Linked DNA regions of Astyanax mexicanus. The protein of the gene in region 1 purifies or fractionates together with the protein of each later gene. This does not show direct contact. Links are inferred from orthologs where the notes say so. Each region holds a gene or a part of one and is shown on either strand. Other genes may lie near its edges. The genes, in order: mtmr10 and mtmr2.

The links.
Region 2: the proteins of mtmr10 (region 1) and mtmr2 purify together in Homo sapiens (affinity purification with mass spectrometry; 5 studies listed by BioGRID and IntAct, with this or other methods). This does not show direct contact. The link is inferred for Astyanax mexicanus from reciprocal best matches to the Homo sapiens genes MTMR10 and MTMR2.

Annotation. Positions count from the first base shown.
Region 1 is NC_064430.1:30,635,438-30,646,482, forward strand, and holds the start of mtmr10 (myotubularin-related protein 10), read right to left. Parts: upstream 4,728-11,045; 5' UTR 4,165-4,727; coding exon 4,105-4,164; intron 3,897-4,104; exon of another isoform or gene 3,856-3,896; intron 3,632-3,855; exon of another isoform or gene 3,611-3,631; intron 2,191-3,610; exon of another isoform or gene 2,170-2,190; intron 1-2,169.
Region 2 is NC_064408.1:38,191,146-38,201,955, forward strand, and holds the start of mtmr2 (myotubularin-related protein 2), read right to left. Parts: upstream 4,611-10,810; 5' UTR 4,451-4,610; coding exon 4,386-4,450; intron 3,023-4,385; coding exon 2,926-3,022; intron 2,753-2,925; coding exon 2,732-2,752; intron 2,602-2,731; coding exon 2,538-2,601; intron 2,161-2,537; coding exon 2,066-2,160; intron 1,674-2,065; coding exon 1,569-1,673; intron 887-1,568; coding exon 782-886; intron 661-781; coding exon 577-660; intron 1-576. Other genes in the region: gjb1a (connexin 27.5), read left to right, coding at 8,771-8,798, 10,306-10,810. UniProt on the Homo sapiens protein: Lipid phosphatase that specifically dephosphorylates the D-3 position of phosphatidylinositol 3-phosphate and phosphatidylinositol 3,5-bisphosphate, generating phosphatidylinositol and phosphatidylinositol 5-phosphate.

The DNA.
Region 1 (11,045 bases):
TATTCCAAATATATATTTTTAAATGGACCAGAAAATAGACATTCATTGATAGTGCATCTCATAATCTGGTGCACTATGGTAACAATAGTTGTGATTCCTCTGAGGTTGGGCAGGGCAGAGGGTCATTCGAACATAACAAATTTCACTCATATCTTGACCGTCTCTTTCAAATCAAAGTTGGAATTTTCAAAGAACTTTGATTTCTGTGAAAAAGTAATTTTATGTACTGACCCATTTTTGCATATATTTCATTGTCATTTAAGAGAGTTTAACTGCTTTATAGCGTTCTTAAATGGAATTACAATGGCAATAATTACACTAAATGGTATTAAAATTACAATAATAAAGTAAGCATGATAGACCTATTTGTGGCAGCTTTCTTTTTTTTACCAGTAAATGCTTTCATTGCTTTACATTTACAGAAACTGCAGCACTAATATTACTTCTGCAGTAGTGAATTGGGTGACCAACTTCTATTATATTAGCTTCACAGTTCCAGTGCAGAATTAAAGAAGGAAATATACATGACGCACATAAATGCATCAGCCGTGTTGGGCCAAAACCTTTTATCTCCATTTTTCACTTTTTGACATAATGTGTCAGTTGTTATTTAAATGACATGTAGAAGAGTTGTTATGTAAATCGGAGATACAAGCTTGCCAATATTAGATCTACTGAAAGCGCTTTACACTCACGATACTTTACATACAATTTACATTTAATTATATTTTTTTAAGATTGTCCTACATCTCAAACATTACACTGAACTGGTGTTTAACCTATTCACACTCTACTAGTATATTTAGCATGATCGTGAAAAAAATAACTTATTATTCTGATTCTGATTAGCCTGTAGAGATCAAACTGTGTATGTTTTCTATTTTCTACCATTCCTTTTATCACACGAAAATTCCAGGATTTCAATAACAATCGGATTCCTACTGATAATACAATGCAATAAAAGCCTAAAGACTGTATTTAATATAGTAAATATTCATAAATACAATAATTTTTTGAATATAATACATTTTCATATATATATATACTGTCAGATGCACTATCAATACCTACATACCAATCTGAAAATACCAGCATGTTCCTCAAAGCCAAAACCCATATACAGTATATGGGTTATATAACAGATATATATATATATATATATATATATATATATATATATATATATATATATATATATATACAGATTATAAAGATCTTGAAATAAAATGTTGGTTATGGAGGAGTTTGGGTGGAAAACAGTATTGTTTAACTGGTGTTTATCTCACTTATAACCTAAATCTAGTATATAGTACCCAGTAATACAATATACTGCAAAATGCTCAAGACCAGTTTTGCTGGTTGCTGGTTTCGGACAGTCTAAACTGGCCAAGAGGGTTGAAAACTGGTCATTCAGATAAAAACATGTCCTTTACTGATAAGCTGACTCATTACCAGCGCTTGAACAGAATGGTGCATTTTGCATTGGATTCTGGTCATGCTGATAGACCTGTTTGGTCATGTTTGTCAATAGTCTTGGTCATTTTGGTCATGGTGGTCAACCAGCATGGTAAAGCTTGGCCATACTGGTTGCTTAGCTTGGTTAGGTTATTTTTTGTAGACCAGTTAAACCATCAAACTCAAAAATATATATATTATATGCTGATGCTGATGCTCTAAAGCTAAATCTGTCAACCAGCTTAATATGTAGTATTCCAGCATCAATCAAACTGAGTAATCTTGTGGCCTATACGACTATATTTACTACAATAATCTATCTTCAAGTCTTCTACTGATAAAAGGGAGTAATCTTGTTGTCTGAAGACCATATTTACTGTAATAAATTAAGTGATAACATTACCTTCTCCTTGTTTAATACACTACCAATATATACCAATATGAGAGACCAGCATGTTCTCCAAGCGCAAAACTCATAAATGTAACAGATTAGAAAGGTTTTCTGTTATTACTGGTTGTTGTTACTGCAGTTGTTTTAGCAGTGTATGTGAAATTCTCAATGTTTTCTACTGTTAAAAGTGAGAAATAATGTGTCTTTAAACCATATTTACTGTATGAATTGAATAAACTACTGTAGTAAAATATGTATCATCCACCAGCATGTTCTACAAAGCCAAAACCCATAACTATTACAGATTAAAGAGATTTACTGACCTGAAGTGGAGGAAGGTAGGATTTAAAAGGTGGTATTTATTGGTTTGGCTGATGTTTTAGTAGAAAACAGTATTAAATTTCTCATCACTATAGTTTTTTTTTTTTACTGTTAAAAGTAAGTAATCTTGTGTCTTCAAACCATATTTACTAGGGGTGGGAATCGTTTACTATCTCACGATTCGATTCGATTCCGATTTTGGGGGCCACGATTCGATTCAAAATCGATTTTTGATTCAAAACGATTTGAATTATAAAAATTTCTGCTTCTGGCTTATGAATCTTATTGAAAAAAAAACCCTCCATAATATACACTGGTCCTGGAGCAAGTAATGTGTTACAAAAACAATAAAATGTGCAGGAATGTGGGTCCTCAGTGACAGAGAAATCACTGGGATATCACAATGACGTTAATGAACAATAAATAAATAATAAATAACACTGCTTTATTACCAGGCTACTAGCGGTGGTGTGTAGGTGACGCTGCTGGGCTGATGTGATGATAGCAGTGGAGCGCTAAAGTTCAGGAGCAGCTGCTGATTAACTAGTTAATTTAAGGTGGTTGTATTTCTTCAGAAAGGGGGCAGGAGGTGGAGAAATTAATTCATATTGTCCATTCCTTAATTCCTCTGTGATGAGGAGCTGAAATTAGCTCTGATTAGCTTATTGTTATTTTTCCGTTCCGCCTTAAATGCTGCAGCCCGCTGCCACCTGTAGCGTTATTTAAGGTGGAACTGGAAAGTTAGCTAGTTAGCTAGCTAACAGTTACTGAAACTAACTACTAGCGATCTTTTTTATGCTTGTTATGAAGCATTCTGCCATAAAACATTGAAACTACACGTTAATCTAAGGTAATATAGTGCTTGTTCTGCCATCTTACCGGTGATTCTCAAACACCTACGCTCTGTGTGTGTCTGGAAGATCTCCGTTTGAAGGGACAAGCCCTATCCCCAGGGTTGCCAGGTCCAACAAAAATACCCAGCCCAAAATCAGTCTAAAACCCGCCCCTCAGAATCGATTTTGGGACATTTTAAATCGATTCTGAATCGTAGTAAATGAGAATCAAGATTCTTATGTGAATCGATTTTTTGGCACACCTCTAATATTTACTATATAAATAAAATAAACTACTGTGGCAAAACATCTATCCACCACCAGCATGTTCTACAAAGCCAAAACCCATAACTAACTGATTTAAATGTTGTTTTTGGAGGTGTTTTAGTAGAAAATTGTATTACTGAACTGATATATTTATCTCTCGTGTCCAATCTCTGTGTGTAATTGCAGTTTTTCTACTGTTAAAAGTAAGTAATCTTGTGTCTTCGACTCATATTTACTATACAAATGAAATAAACTACTGTAGGTTAGTAAACATCTATCCACCACCAGCATGTTCTACAAAGCCAAAACACATAAATATAGCGGATTAAAAAGATTTACTGACCTGAAGTGGAGGAAGGTAGGATTTAAAAGGTAGTATTTATTAGTTTTGCTGATGTTTTAGTAGAAAACAGTATTAAATGTCTCATCACTACAGGTTTTTACTGTTAAAAGTGAGTATTCTTGTGTCTTCAAACCATGTTTACTGTATAAATGAAATAAACTACTGTGGCAAAACCTCTTTCCACAACCAGCATGTTCAACAAAGCTAAAACACATTAATATTACAGAATAAAGAGATTTACTGACCTGAAGTGGAGGAAGGTAGGATTTAAAAGGTAGTATTTATTGGTTTTGCTGATGTTTTAGTAGAAAACAGTATTACATTTATCATCACTACAGTTTTTTACTGTTAAAAGTTAGTAATCTTGTGTCTTCAAACCATATTTACTGTACAAATGAAATAAACTACTGTAGGTTAGTAAACATCTATCCACCACCAGCATGTTCAACAAAGCCAAGACACATAAATATAGCAGATTAAAGAGATTTACTGACCTGAAGTGGAGGAAGGTAGGATTTAAAGGTTGGTTTTGGAGGAGTTTTAGGAGAAAACATGTTTAAAGCTGGTCTGGGAGCAGACTGACACCCACAACCTCACAAACTCTCAGTTAAATCCAGACTCCAGAGCTGCAGCTGATCTTCAGCAGCTCCAACTTCAGATTAACTAGTTTATGTAGTTCAGTTTAGAGAGAAGCAGCAGTCCGGCTCCAGTCTCTGCTGCTGCAGGATTAACCCCAGACCCAGTCTTCATTCATTCTGAAACTCTTAAACTCCAGAGAGAGAGAGAAACATAGTTAAACTCACTCAGATAACTATCCCTCCCTCTCTCTCTTTACCCCGCTAGCGCTGTTAGCATTAGCTCTCCGGTAAGTTGCCTGTCAAACTCGGCGCGGGGCTGAACTTTTCCTCCAGCGGTTCTGTAGTTTTTCTAAACCCTGCGCTCCGCCGCGGGTCTTCCTCCTTTTCCTCACTGCGGTAAAATGTGTCCGGACCCCCCGAAGCCCGGTCCCGGCTGCAGTTTCCCCGCTGCTCCCCCGCGGACTGAGCTGCGCTGGGTTTTACTGAGGGCGCTCGGTTCCTGCAGGAGACTCCGCGGCCATGTTTACACAAGTAGCGGACTGTGAACGACTCGCAGATGAATCGAATCTTTTCAAGTGAACCGGTTGAACCGATTCAGGAGACTCGCAGATCCAGCAACTGAGTCAAGTGTTTCTGTTTGGACACAACTTAACCCTTTCAGACCTGAATTATCTCCAGTGATGGAAAGAAAATGTGAGAAAGCTGTTTTCTGTCTGTAAATCACAGAAAAAAATACTGTAATATTCCACTATAAAATCTATATAGCAAATAAATTAATAAATAAAAATAAATAAATAAAATTAACTAAAATATTGAAGTTTTTTATTTCTATTGCATTGAAAAACTGTGTGTAATATTTTATATTCTATATCGACCTTTTCATTCCATAAACCATCCCTAAACAGTAACAAAAAACATGATTAAAAAGTGATCTAAATCACATTAAATTAGCTGTAACTTTGCCTTAATGGCAAATTTGTTTTTCCAAATGTTTTTCCAGTGCAGTGGGCGGGGCCAAGTTTCAGTTTCATTGGTTTATAAAATTGTTCATTGGCACATTGGTCTATTCTGATGGACAACAACTCTCAAATAGTGTTATGTGCAACAAATAATTTAAAAATAAAGAAAACACATGTTGTCCATTGTAATGGATGCACCTTCAATTTAGTGTTTTTTCATTATTTTGAAATGTTCTGCATTGTAGAATAATACTAAAATCATCCAAACTATGAGAAGAAACATCTGGAATTATTTAGGAAACAAAAATATGTTAAATAAACCATAATATATTTTATATATTCTTAGATGACAGCTTTGCACAGCTTCATAAAGTAGAAACTTCTGGAGTGGATTTCAGTTAACAGCTGTGCTGAACTTGTCAAGAGTTAATTACTTGAATTTGTTGCCACTTAATGTGTTTGAGAGCATCAGTTGTAAAGTTTTGAAGAGGTAGAGTTACAGGTATACAGTGAGTAGCTCTATTTGAGTAATGTTCTAATCCAGATTATGACAAAAACTACTAAATTAAGTAAAGAAAAACTGGTTTTATTTTTATTATTTCATGTTTATGTAAATGTAAAATCTAAAATCTATCTCCAAACTAATCCACTAAACTAAATCCAAAGAGAAGACATTTCTTCTCCATGTAAATTCATGCTCAACTGAGTGTTTATATGATATATTTTAGCAATACATTAATTCAGTCATTCAAAATGTAAGGTATTTTTCAATTAACTTCTTTTTTTGATCATCGTGCATCCTTATTTTATTTTTACATTTCTTACTTAAATAATATTAAATAAGAATGTATGATGATCAAAAACAAGTTATTGAGGCAAAGATTGGCAAAGATATCTAAAATTAATACTTAGCCAGGTCATTTTGACCCATGTTGCACATCAAAGGGATTATATATAAAATATACATACAAATGTATGCTTTACATAAACAGTGTTATACTCATTCGAATTCTTAGAAACAGAAGGGTATAGGCATTAATATGTAGCTGCAGAGAAACATTTTAATGCAGTAAGCAGGCAGACAGGTGTTTTCTGTTCAACCTAGTATAAAACAAACCACTAGGTGGCGCTAAAGCCAAAGCTTTAATTACCAATCCTTTACAGGACTTAAAAGATCTGATGCTCAGGATCTGGAGGGCTAGACCTGTTTTAGTAACACAGCGAGACCTCCACAATATTCGGCAGGTAGTTTTAATGTAATCGGAAATAACATTATTTATATATGAATATGAAGCATATTCACACTAACATAAACTTTATGAAATCATTTCACTACTAGTTGTGTTTTGTATGATTAAGTATGATGAAAAATACGTGTATGGTGTATATTTTCTACAATCATATTCACATTTACTTTATTTTTTAAATTAAGAAAATACTGCACGAGAACAGCATCATAAAGAATCAGAGAGTGATGCTTTGTTGTGAATCACTGAATCGTTTAATCGGACACCCGATTCACTGAAACGTTGAGTTCAAAAGAGTCAACTTGACAAAATGAATCGAACGTCCAAATCACTCCAGAACGGAGAGTTTGGAGAGGGCGTGACCGAGATATGGACGGGGGTGTGGCCTATGTATATGAACATAATATTTAAATAGCATGATTCATGTTCATTTATTTGTGCTTCTTAAACAAAAAATATAGTTCAATAATCATTTTCCATAAAGTTTAAACTTACTGTGGCGTGGAAGAGGAAGGAAGACCCGTGAGACTCATGCTGAATGCTCAATAGCTACTTTAATGAACAGGCTTGCCACTCACTTACAATCTTTAACAAGACTAGGAGAGCTAAAACCATTCTATCTATAGGCTACCAACAGAGCCAAGTGACTAAACTCACTATCCACCTACTCTACGGTGAGTGCCCTAACCAGCATCCATCTGCATGGCCCCTCCCCATACCCTAGGTTACAGGGGAGGTACCAATTACGTAGGCTGGAGCGACACAGCACAACAAAACACAAGAGGCCCCAAACACAGAAGAATAGAAACATGCCTACAGGCAGCCACACACACAACCCAGAGCCGCCACAATACATTTATAGAGAAAGTATCTAAAAGCCTTTCTTTCTTTGGGTTTTCTAAAATTATTTTAAATAGTATTTTTTTTTTTTTTGTAATTTTCACAGCATTACTACTGTTAAATGATGAAATTAATTCTTCCTGTAGAGCTAATATAGAGCATGTTACTATAGATCTGCAAATCACTGTGGTTGAAATTCAATTTTTTATGATTTTATTTTATAAATCATTGGTTGTTCGGATCAGCAATTACAGTTAAATAAGTGAAAATAAGTTTATAGGATTTACAGAAATTGTGCAATAATTATTTAAACTAAATTAGGCAGGTGTATAAATTTGGGCCCCAACAGAAAAATTACATAAATATTTAGTAGATATTCCTTTTGCAGAAATAACAGCCTCTAAACGTTTCCTATTCCTTCCTATGAGAGTCTGTCTTCTGGTTGAAGGTATTTTGTATCATTTTCTTCAGTTCTGTAAGGTTTGATGGTTTCTGATCATGAACAGCTCGCTTTAAATCACACCACAGATTTCTATAATTCTATAATATTCAGATCTTCTCTCCATAAACCAGCTCTGGTCACTGTGTTTAGCAGTGGAGTGTGTTTAATTGTGTAGGATAGATTAGTTATAAAGCAGCGTGTTTTAGTATCACCTCTCCTGTCCTTTACTGCAGTTAAAAGTCTGAACTCTAGAGGAGTGACTGTGTGAGGGGGTGTTTTATTTACAATAAAATACAGAAATACACATTCAGTCCCAGTCTAGGAATACAACGTAGAAGTACATTTTGCTGCGTGTTTTTGTTTAACTGCGTGCCGAGTTCCAATGGTTAGGATTCTATATTCACACTTAATTTGCATAATCGCTGATAGTACTGGGAAAAAGACAAAATCTGCCGTATTTCCACCTTTTTAACATTAATATCACCATCTGTTACACAAAAAACTCAGTCCTCGTTAAACCACGTGTTTATTGTATTTTCTGACAGTTTTTTTTTCACCTACCATGAACGACAATCTTCAGACTTTACCGCCCTATATATATAATCTTTGGCTCTTCCTTCATTTGGATTACAAAATATATCCATTATTGGCGCTGCACGTGGCAGTCTGCCCTACGTTTTCATATTAAACTAAAATTACATTTAGGATCAGATAATTTAGTTAAAGCCCCACTAGCTTTTATATTATTTTATGAAATATAAAGGAGTGTGGACATGTGGTGATTGACAGCTTTGGGCTGTGTCCTCTGATATCGTGAACGGTATTAATGCTGAATGAATGAAGAAGGTTCTTTGCTGTGATTTTTTGTGAGGAGGACTCATTGTTATACAGACACTCCTAGATTTCAGGCATTAAAATAAAAATCTTTAGTTTTAAGTATGTGTCTGGTTTCATTTTGTCTGTAGTCTGTAGTTTATTTGCTGTATAGATTTATGTTTTAGTAGCTTGTGTGTTAGTGGAGGACTAGTAAAATAATGATTTAATTGTATGGCAATAAAACTTTTTGAATCTTTAGTTACCTTGTTAGACTTTAAACCACATGCTAAAACATCGCTGTTAGGATCTTATTTATTTTATATGTTAAATGTTCAGCTGGGTTAGTTTGTAATATTGTATATATAAATAAGTGAATTGTGATGTTGAAAAAAAATCAGTTCTGGGGACTGAGATGATCATTCCAGACTGTGGTACCTGTTCCTCTGCATTAATGCTATAGGAGTGATTTTGAGCAGCATTTAGGGTCATTGTCTTGTTAAAGTATTCAGTCCCAGAGCAACTTCAACTTTCTCACTGATTATTAAACATTGTTCTCAAGTACGATCCTGGGAGGGGCCATGGATACAAAAAAATAAATAAATCGAGTGAACGATATAGCAGTTTGTACTCACGATTTCTTCAATTTAAGTGAACGATTTGCAGTTGTGCTCACGATTTCTTTAATTTGTGCTCACATTTTCTTTAATTTGAGCGAGCGATTTTTTATGCACACTAAGACAAGAAGCTTCCAGCAAAAGGAGCATTTTTCACCCTAAACCTGTTACAGGGCTGCTGTGATTTTAATTAGTTTTCTAAATTTATAAAATGCTGGTTATTAATGCTCTAGTGTTACAGTTAGATAATACAGTGTGCAGATTTTGCTGTAGTGGCAGATTTTGCTGTAGTGTTGGGTGAAGAGGCCTCCCGTGTGGGGAGAGCAAGTGCAGTCCTTTGTGGAGCTTTTTGAATAAAGGAATGAATAAAGGAAATAATCTTTTTACTGATGCAGGATGACTGTTTGTGTGTTATAAAAACCATATCACTATACTTTTCATACCACTATACTTTAATGTTAAGGTTAATAAAGGAACGTCAACTTTTAAAAATATACTGCAAAATCTGTCTAGGGGCCTAAACGATTAGCTGTTTTAGCGAAATTTACCACAGCATGATAAAACTTAGAAGTGAGAACTCCCACTGAATGATTGTTACAATCCCAGAACATTAAAAGATTAGTTTAGAATTTAAAATATATTAAAGTTTACTGGAAAACAAAATAACATTACATATATATAAAAGAAACATAAATGAGTAGATATATTAGAAAAGAGTAAAATTACATCAACACACATTCACAACCCAGAGAGAGAGAGAGAGACAGAGAGAAATGAAGTACAAGGCGAGGGAGTGAGGACCCTTTGGCGTCTCGTCCCCTTCACCCAACACAGACTCCATCTAAGCAGTTATACCTTTATGCAAATAGATCACTGAAGTCGTGTCATCATTTTGTAGTCGACGCCATGTTGTTTATGCCCATATTTGGGTTTCCGTGTCTAAGCCGTTCATGTAAACGGCGGCTTTTCAAAAACTGGCCTCTGTCACATTCTGTGGTAAATAAATCTGTTCAGAACCCTGTACGTTTTATTCTGTGTACATTTACCTCCTAAATATCACTGGATCCGCTGAATTTCGAGATCGTTTAAGGGAAGTAATCAGAAAAATACTAACTTTAAGCTATTGCTACTGACGTCACAGCACAGCGGCTGGAAATGACCCCGGACTGGATTCTGCACAACACCAGTGAACTCCCATCAGAAAGCGTTATGGATTATTAAGCTTCTTCACAGAGGATCATTAAAGCATTTAAACAGGTGAAAACTCTTTCAGTGATGTTGAGCAGTGTGATGTTGAGCAGTGTGGTGTTGAGCAGTGTGGTGTTGAGCAGTGTGGTGTTGAGCAGTGTAATGTTGAGCAGTGTGATGTTGAGCAGTGTGATGTTGAGCAGTGTGGTGTTGAGCAGTGTGATGTTGAGCAGTGTGATGTTGAGCAGTGTGGTGTTGAACAGTGTGGTGTTGAGCAGTGTGATGTTGAGCAGTGTGGTGTTGAACAGTGTGGTGTTGAGCAGTGTGATGTTGAGCAGTGTGATGTTGAGCAGTGTAATGTTGAGCAGTGTGATGTTGAGCAGTGTGGTGTTGAGCAGTGTGGTGTTGAGCAGTGTGATGTTGAGCAGTGTGGTGTTGAGCAGTGTGGTGTTGAGCAGTGTGATGTTGAGCAGTGTGGTGTTGAGCAGTGTGGTGTTGAGCAGTGTGGTGTTGAGCAGTGTGATGTTGAGCAGTGTGATGTTGAGCAGTGTGGTGTTGAGCAGTGTGATGTTGAGCAGTGTGGTGTTGAGCAGTGTAGTCTGTGTTAGAGCTTTAAAAGGCAAATAATAAGAGAAAATGTCTCTCAGTTCAGCAGCGCTTCCCCGAAGGGTTTAGTATTTAATTACGGTCATTAGTTTATACTAATTACTAATCAACTAATCAACTAACTATCTGCCCTCACTGAGGCGAT
Region 2 (10,810 bases), on another chromosome or scaffold:
TTAGACCTTCTTACACATCACCATCCTATGCTCTAGTAGTCACCATTGTGCTAGTTGGTGCTTGATGAAGCGCCATTTAATTCAGAACTAGATTTATAATAACTTCGTAATTACATGTCATATCAGAACATTCACTCCTTTGTGTTAATTTAAACTTGTTTGGTCAAACATTTCAGCTTGTTCTGCAAAGGTTCAAAGGTCAATCTGAATACCACTTTGTGAACATTCTGGTTGAAGCCACCTGATCAATACCAATAACATGTAGACACCTTTTGACTAGTTCTAACTCACTTAATGAATATCCTACAAAGTTCACTAGATTTACATGTGAATTTAAGCACTGGTCAGGTTGAAAGGCCTCTGCTCAACATTAATAACAGGTGAAAAACTTGATAATTTCTAAATGTGACAGGGCATCTCCAATCATATTAGACCTTCTTACACATCACCATTCAATGCTCCAGTAGGCACCATTGTGCAAGTTGGTGCTTGAACCCGATGATTGCCGCTTGCGGCTATATTTTTATTTATTTTTTTACCCGATATAGAAAGACACTGTATGCATTTAAACTGTACCTGTCTCCTGTATTCAGCTAGAGGATCATACACCTTCCACCCGTTCTCAGGAAACACCTGATTATACTCAAATGCAAAGAGAGACTACAAAGAGAGAGAGAGAGAGAGAGAGAGAGAGAGAGAGAACGAGGGAGAGTGTTAGCCAGTGAGAAATTCATGTAAAATGTGCACACGCTAATACGCGCACATGCATACAAACACTCACCAGATTGTTGGAGACAGGGAAGGCGAATTTGGTTAGCACCTCGAAAACAGATTTCTTTAATGAATCATCCGGCTGCTTATGCACAAACCGCAAATTCCTCATATCCTATAGAACACACACAGTAAAAAAGCAAGACAATTCAAGGAGATTTAATAATAGGAATAAAATATCATCAAAACCATAAATAAACCCCTTTATTCTGAAGCTTTCTGATTTAATTCTTTAAAATATATAACAACTTTCATGAAACAACACAAAGTGATTATAGACTTTATATACTAATTATAAAACACACAATGAAGTTTCATTAAAGTTTATGTTCAGCATCCATGTTTGGTCTGTATGCGTGTGTGTGTTTGTGTGTACAACTTCCTATTTAGCCCATGAGCCAGTGCGCTTCAGCCGCCTCCAGGCTGACATCATACTATCTAATATAGACCTGTTACAACAATTATGTTATCAACTAATGTTTCATGAACACAACCTCAATATTGTTACTTATCAAGAAGAGAGCGCATTAATGTGAACAGTTAGATATGTCCATTTTGTCCATTAAAACAGTCCATTTAATGCTCTTTAAAATGAAGAAATTGCATTACACAGCTGTAATTTAGTCATTATCAGTGGCCCAAAGTGATTGTATTATGACAATAATATTGCTTATCGCAATTATATAATAATATAATTGACCAATTAAAATAGTTTCCCTGACAGGCTTATGTGCATTAATGGAGAAAAATGTTGTATAGCTCTTTTAAACTGTTGTTAATAATTTATCATCACCCACTTTGCAGAAGAGGTGGTAGGAGACATCTCCTCGACTGGACGCGCCGCCAATCTTATCCACTCTGCTGATCACTCCTAGTGGCAAATCCAGCACAACGCCAGGCTCCTACACACACACACACACACACACACACACACTTAAAGCTGCAGTAACACAGTAACATACTGCTACTTGATCGGTCATAAAGAACCTATAAAGTTTACATGGCTCTCATCATGGACATAAATGGCATCTGAAACCAACACAGGGTCAGAAATATACAAAGTGAACATCTTATATTAGTATATATATATATACACGTACATACATTTTAAGCAACAAAAGTCACAACAATGCAGTTTGTAATAGGACTGCACAGTATATCATTTTAGCATTGTTGGCCTAATGTGTGTAACAGTCACATTGGAGAATGTGCAATAGTTTTAAATGTGGTCCAATGCAAACTAGAAGTAGTGAAAGTGCTGATAGTATCTGCAGTTCATGATTATGTGTATTACCCTGTTAATTCCTCTGAAGAGCAGTCTGTAGTTGGTAACAGTAAGTGTTCCCCGCAGAGCTCCAAGAAATGGACAGATGTATGTCACATCTTTGCCTAGACACAAAAAAAAAAAAAACAGAACTGAGGTCAGTAGACCACATGCAGCAGACCTTAAAACAGGGTCATAAAAGGGTTACTTTAAAATCATACCCAAAATTACACTTTACTTTTACCTAAACAGTACTCTAATAAATTACATGTTTGCATATTTGTAATTGTAAAATCTTCTTAAAGTGCTAAAACAGCAGAAATTATTACAATCTTTAAAATATAAGTGTCAGATAGCATATCTTGTTGAAAGCTGTTACAGAACAGTTAGTGTCCTCCTCCAAGTGTGTTGAGCCTCAATGGTGCTTCTGGTGTTTCAGAGCAGCCTTAACCCAGAATACTTAAAATTATATCTGTTAAAGTAATGTTTATTAGTGCCTCACCCACGTCCTGCACCACCTCCTTTGGCAAGAGCTCAACATCATCCTTCCCTGAGTCTCTGAATGTCTGAGACAAAGACAGAGAGAAAGAGAGAAAGAGAGAGAGAGAGGGAGGGAGAGGGAGAAAGAGATTATAATTTCAAACAATATGAGCTTGTTTTGTGTATTAATGTGTAAACTAGGCAAACTAATACTACCTTTGCAGGCTTTCCCTTCACCTGTGAAATACAAACACACATTTTAGTTAAAAATAAAAATTCAGGACATAACAATATAACAATAACAATAATGAGCTTTAGAAAAGCTCTACTTATAAAATATACATATTATTATTCCTAATTTATTTATCCTATTTAAAATATAATGAAGAACTAATAGTTATGATTCTCACCCGTAGCTGGGGTGAAAGATCACTGTTGGAGTTTTGCTCTGAAGAGATTGATGGGCCTTTGGTCTGAAAGGACCGATCTGACCGAGATGTGGAGGAGCTGTGGAATAAATAACTTGGAATTACAAATGTAATACACAAACACATGTTCTGTGCCAACAAATTTGAGCAATCCAGCTTTAAAAGTCTTTCCTCTCTTTTTGTATGAACTGTCTGAATGCACATGAACACAGTCTGCATGTTAACACAGAGAACAGGGAGACGCAATCCAAATTACCTCAAATTGCAAATATATCAAGACCTATTTACCAAGACCAAGCAAAAAATTGTTATATTCACCTGGTTCTCCCTATTGGAAACTATTTTAATAAAAAACAGGTGAACCAAGAGTGATGCTAGGAGTGTGCCATATCATACTATACACAAAAATATCCCCCAATTTTTTAAATACCATTGGCCCAAATGGACTATCAGGGTACAACTGTTATTGTTGTTTGTAGCAAAGTGGAAAATTCACACTATTCTCCGTCAGTCCTGGATATATAAAGTATTAGCATCACTACATGTTGGATCATTGACTTCTGTTACAATCTCAATTAGGGCTTTTCCACTTCATATTGTATGCAATAATTTCACCAAATTAAATGTAATATTCACTGTGTTGCAGTAGTTTGTTCTTGAAATCAACTTTTCTTTAATTCAATGTTTTGTATACATAACGTCACATCGCTATCGCAAAAATACTGTGAAGTATCACAATATTATTTTAGGGCCAGCCCAAAGTGAAATGTACCTACGGTTTTCATTAATGAAAAGTCTTGTTATAAACATGACAGGGCATAAAAGTCATATTAAAACCTGTTTTATATATATATATATATATATATATATATATATATATATATATATATATATATATATATATATATATATTCTGTATTTAAGGGGGCTTTAGCTACTTTTACTGGAGTAATATTTCACCCTGGGTATCTAGTTACGTTTATTAAAGAAGCTAGATACAAAGTGTATGTGCCTTTTACACCACTGACAGATAACTTAGTTAGCTGTGGCAGATACTTAACGAGGTACAATGTAATTGATTTAATGACACGACAGTTAAATGGAGTGGCTACTTGTCAACACTAGCTAGCTTAGCTTAGTTAGCTAACCTATAAGTGTTGCTATAGGTACAATGATAGTTAGCTGAACATGTAAATAAACTGACATTATCAGTTAGCTAGCTCAGTTAGCTAACTAGTTAATTAGCTCCAGCGGAAACCTCCCGGTTAACCGGGGTCTAGTACTCATTAGTGTTTCTCCGTGTAGCAGAAATATTCTCCAGTAGTGGGTTTTAAACTGTTTCTGTGAACTCCGCTGTGTTTTTTCCAGGTAATCTGTGTTTTTCCCTCAGTATTAGCGGTTAGCCGCGTTAGCTCGCTGCTGGCTGTAAGGGGCGGAAGTACCTGCAGAGTGAGTCCAGGCTGGGCTGCCTGGAGCCCGGCGACTCCCCGTTAGAGCCCGGGTCCATCAAAAAGGAGAATCACCGAGTCCTGCAGGGAACCAGCGACTAATCCAGCGATCAAACCAGCATTTAGATCCGCCGACCTCCTCACAACCACAGCTACAGCAGATCAACACACACACAGGAAGCTGCCATCTTTACCCACAGTCCCCCTCTCTCCCTCTCACCTCACCTCAGCTCACCCCAGCTCAACTCAACACTCTCTCTCTCTCTCTCTTAAAATGTGAAACTCATAAATACATGTATTACACACAGAGTGATCTATTTTAAAATCCGCATTTCCACAAGTTGTCAGCAGAGAGTACTAAGGTATTCAACATTTTTGTACTTAAATATTGCAAGTAGTTTATTCTAAAATGTACAACTCAAGTACTGAAAGTAAAAGTAGTAGTGTTATGAATAATAACAGAGAGCAGTCAGACATTTAAATTTCATATTGTTTATAATATTTTCAATATTTAGGCTAAAGGGCATTTACAATATATTTAGCTGCAACACCAGCACAAGCACATAAATGTACAAGTTAGAGTACATGTACATCATGTCTTCAGTCAACTCTCTAAACATACTTACCCAAAAGTCATTAGGATATTTCAACCCATTTTGCACAAAAGGTCACTAGTCGGTCTATCACTATTGTAAAATCAACTTCAGCTGTCAAAGGACAGATGCGTGTTTTTTAATTTTAATGAGTAATGATGCAGCACTCAAAAATGTATCAGTGTATTATTATACTCATTGAAAATATGCATTGACAAAAGTAGAGGCAGGAGAAAAAAATAATACTCCAGTAATTAAAGATTTAGTTCCTCAAGTATAATTTGTTAACAGTATTGTGCAAATGTTTTAGGCACCTGTGGGAATTTCAGTAAAGAAAAAGCTTCTTTCTGTGAAGTTAGTGTTTATCAGCTCAGTAAAAACACTAACATTACAATAAATACAAACAGCAATTTTACCAAAAGCAATGCTTTTACAGCACTGTTTACCTTAAAACATCTTCTAATCTCTCCTCATCTGAGAATCTGTTCATTCACAGTGAGTTCAGTTGGGTGTACTACAGCAGAAAAACCATTACAATGTGCATGGCAGTGGGTCTCCCGGACTCAAGATCAGCTAGGCATCCAGAAAAAAAACAACACACCCAATGTTGGCAGGCTAGCTCGTTAACTAGCTTTTGACCAGCAATTTGTGCAATAATTGTGTACTATTTTAAAATATTTATAAAAAAAGACTTGGACATTTACTACAACTTGTACTACTGCAGTTACTACTGTTGGTGAGCAGTGCAGCCATCTTGGATTCTGAACTCAGGGTTAGTAACCCTCTTTGAGTTTTCCAGGTAGAAAATATTTTAAATTTCCTACTTGGAACGTCCAACATCCAAGTTCAAAATGGAATGCAGCACGTTTGCTCCTCCCTAAACTGAAAAGATGAAAAATAAAATAATAATGTAAACCAGTTAATGGTTTACTAAAAAATAACATGCGGCTTGTTGTCATTGCTTGTTTTTGTTCTCTCTGAAAGATGTCCATTTTTTATGATTTCTCTCTCTTTTTACGCGTGCCCTGCTTTATGTCTAAAACATGCAGTCCCACTGTATAACTGGTGTGTGTGTGTGGATGTGCGTCAGAGTGTTAGTCTCTGTGCTGTGGTGGGTGTGTATCAGCGGACTGATCTGAATGGTAAAAAGAACAGTACAAGCAGCCATTGTATGCTAATGGTAGCATGGGAGCGGCTACAGCGTGACTGCTCTTCATTAGCAATGCAAAGTCGCTGAGCTGTATCATAACAGCCCTCTCTCAAACTCACACACATCAACCCTTTCTGCACTGCTGTTAACTCCAGCTGCTCCGCTTCTTTCTCAGCACGGACCCCACCAAACCACAGGTAAACCCCCAATCTTATCTACAACTACCAAACAACCAACACACCATTCTAAACTACCAATACAACACTCTCAACTACAACTACCCACCACTCTCACTTGCAAACACCCACCACTTTGACCTCCACCTCCAACTGCCAATCACTCCTACCCAAACTACCCATTACTGTCACCTTCAACTACCCACCAGTCTCACCTCCATCTACTGACCACCCTTACCTCCAACTACCCACCACTCTTACCCCAACCTCAAACTGCCCCTCACCCTTACCCCAACTACCCACCACTCTCAACTGCAACTACCCACCACTTTGACCTCCAGTCTCCAACTGCCAATCACTCTTACCCCAACTACCCATTACTCTCACCTTTAACTACCCACCACTCTCACCTCCAACTACCCACCCCTTTGACTACCATCTACTCACCACTCTCATCTACATCTATCCACCACTCTCAACTGCAACTACCTACCACTTTGACCTCCATCTACTCTCACTTTCAACTACCCACCACTTTCACCTCCAACCTCCAACTGCTAATCACTCTTACCCCAACTACCCATAACCTCCATCTACTCACCACTCTCACCTTTAACTACCCTTCACTCTAACCTCCATCTACCCACCACTCTCACATCCAATTACCCACCACTCTCACCTCCAACCACCCACCACTCTCACCACAAACTACCCATCACTCTCACCTCCCACTACCCAACACTTTCATCTTAAAACTTCCACATTAAACCCTTTAACTACCCACCAATCTCACCTTCATCTAATCAAAACTCTCTGCTCCAACTACCAACCACTCTTACCCATTGCTACCCACCACTTTTAGATTCAACCTCCAACTCCCCACCACTATCACATTCAACCTCCCAACTCCCCACCACACTCATTCCAACTACCCACAACTTTCACCTCAAACCTCCAACTACCAACCACCTTTTCTCAAGCTACCCACCCAACTCACCCCAACAACCTACCAGTCTCACCTATAACTACCAACCACTCTTACCACAACTACCAATTATCATCTCCAACTACCAAGCACTTTCATTTAAGTACATCCACCCTTACTTCCAAATACCAATCACTCAAGACCTGCATTCTAACTAGCCTCCATTCTTACCTCCAACCTCCAACTACCCACAAGTCTCCTCAAACTACCTACTAAAACTTTCACCTTCAACCTTTAAAATACTGAGCAAATAAAAAATTGGTGGAATGAATATGAAACAAATACACATGTAAAATTTGAATGGTAATCCTTGGTAATCCTTGGTAATCCAGGCTGTAAGAAGCAACCAGGATAGTTTGGATGCAAATGCAAGGCAGGTTTATTTATGCAAAAACACCAGCCAAAATCGCTGTCAAAAACAGGTAGAGATAAAAAAATAAAATAAAATAGAACACAAGGCAAAATTCATAGTCAAAGAGCAGGCAAAGATCAACAACCAAGAATAACAAACAAAGTATATAATGCTTGATAAGAGTGGCAATATCTTACAACTGGAGACAGTAAGAGAACCAGTATCAATAGTCCAAGTAATCAGTTGAAGTCTTACAGGTGTATGGAAGAGGTGGAGTCAGCTTATTAGTACTCCGGAGAGGCTGATCTAAAAGGTGCAGTGTGTGCAGGTGTTACACAGGCTCTTCATGCTGTAAACTACACTTTATATCTGGTAACTACCTCCTCAGGCCACATGATTTGTTCACTTTTAGCTTATCCAGAAAATCACGTGTAAAGTGTTTCCTTTATGGGGCAGTGCAATGCTGCTTTACTGTTAAAGACAGAAGCCACATCAGGGCCTGTTATGAAGCCAAGCATTTTTAGGCATTGGAGGAGGCCAGACTCATTTACATTTGGATCAAGGATTGGTGCAGCTTGATGTGAAGTCAAGGTGCAAACAGAGAAAGAAAGCTACTGCAGCTAACCCATTTGTTTGGCTGAGGAAGTTTTCTATACATGTTGGTGAATCTGTGAGCAGCATGACTTTTTTGCCAGGAACACAGTCCACTAGTTGCAACAACTTAATCATTTTCATTTTTTTCTAAAACGTTTTGGCAAAACCCCACTGTAAAAAGTTTCTTGATCTGACTGTATTCTATTCTATTACATTTCAACTGTTGAATTATAGCAAAAGAATCGCACATGTTGAATGTGAAGTAAATGAGGTACAGGATGTACCCCCCTCCCCAAACACACTGTTGGATTGTCCAGACACTCGTTGACCCTCGCGTCACATTGTGCAAAGGGGGCGGAGAACTGACTAAGTGATAAGGGGTCACATGGGTGTGTGTTCTTAAACAGTGGCAGCAACAGCCAGACTGGCTGACACACACACACATACACAAACACACAGAATTGCACAGGAAAAGTATCTGAGACTGGAGGGACTGTGATGCTTCTGGACGCTCAGTGGGGTTCTGCCCATGCCTCTAACGCCACCGCCGGAGCCTGGTAACTGACACACACAATTTAGCATTTGTATTCACAGTTGTGTGCAAAAGTTGTGCACTCCTCTTCGAATTATATGGGTTCTTGGTGTTCTGAGTGTAAATACGTGAATAAATATGTAATAAACTTAATTATGACAATTTTTGTACACAAAATTTCTACTTCTTTACTCAATTTAACAGAGAAAACATAACATTTTATGTGCCATAAACTTTTTTAAATCTACAACTATGTCTTAATCTGTAAAAGTAGAGTTTGTGACTTATTTAACACCTTAAAAAAAACTGGTGAGGATGTGACTTAAAAAACACCTATAATTAGTGTTTCACTTGGATTGCAAAAACGTTTGCACACAGGTGTATTAAGGCAAGTCAGTCAAAAGTTGTTTATTGCATTCCCATCTTAGTCTAAACACAAGCTAATGCAATAGCCACAAGCTAATGACTAACTATCTATTAATATAATAACACACAGCCACTACTTACAGGGTTAATAAGGTGTGAAATTTAAAATAAGCACTAAGAACTTTGAAAGTGCAGAGGTAGCTTAATAAAACACTGTTTATAAACAAAGTATCTTAAGGTAGCTCTCTGGGCGCCAACATCTTGAAATTAAGTCACGATAAGTAGACTGATGAGCATAAACGAATAGGTGGTATAGGGAAACAGATTGAAAAACAAATTCAGTGGAAATGCATGAATTCCAGCTGTTTCTGAAACTCTTGTTATTTTATTTAATATTCATGCATTTCCACTAAATTAATTTGTCACATCCTTGCCTTGTTTCCCATCTGTGCTCCTGTATCTGTTGTTTACCTGTCATTCTCCCTCCTATTCCTGTGTGTGTGTTCCCCATGTGACTGTACTCCTCTATGTCTAGTGCCTTCACCTGTGTCTTATTTGTTACTCCGCCCCCTCTTACCTGTTTCCCCAGGTGTCTCCTATTTCCGTTTCCCTTCTTGTGTATTTATACCCCAGCATTTTCATGTTCCTTCGTTGGTCTTTGTTGTTTATTATTCAGCGTTTTTTTGTGTATTCTCCTTCTCCTTTGTTCTCTTTTTTAATTCCCTAGTTTGGTTTCTTGCATGAATTGACCTTAACAAGCCTCAAGCCACTGATACAAAAATTACACAGCTGATGCACCTGCCTAAATATACTTGCATTGAGACTGAGTTCATAGGACTACCTACTGTCACAGGCTTAATATTCAATAGTGGCTAGGCTTAATATTTACTATAACTTTAGTAGCATGAAATACACTTGTTTACAATGTCACCTGCAGTACATTTATATAAATGGAATTTATTTGGAGTTCTTATGCACGCATAGCACTTTTACATGATTCATTGCAGTTTTAAAGCTGCTGCCATCTACAGGAGTTCCGTAGATACTGCCTTTACATTAAAATGAGAAGAGTGGAAAGTGTGTAAAATGTTCCAAAAGTCCAATTCACTGATTCCTTGTAGTATCTGCATGTTTGTATTTAACAGCATCTTTTTGTTATGTTTTAGACCTGGAACCAAAAATGAATTGGGCGTCCTTCTACGCCGTGATCAGCGGCGTAAATCGGCACTCCACTGGGATCGGCCGTGTCTGGCTCTCCGTTCTCTTTATCTTCCGGATCTTGGTGCTGGTGGTGGCGGCTGAGAGCGTCTGGGGCGATGAGAGGTCTCATTTTACCTGCAACACACAGCAGCCGGGGTGCAACAGTGTCTGCTACGACCAGTTCTTCCCCATCTCACACATCCGCCTGTGGGCACTACAGCTTATCCTGGTCTCCAGCCCCGCCCTGCTGGTCACCATGCACATCGCGCACCGCCGACACCTGGACAAGAAGCTGTACCGCCGCACAGGCCGCGGTAGCCCTAAGGAGCTAGAGCAGATCAAAATGCAGAAGATGAAGATCACCGGCGCCCTCTGGTGGACATATCTGATCAGCCTGCTGTTCCGCGTTCTCTTCGAGTCTGCCTTCCTCTACCTGTTCTACATGATCTACCCCGGCTACAAGATGTTCCG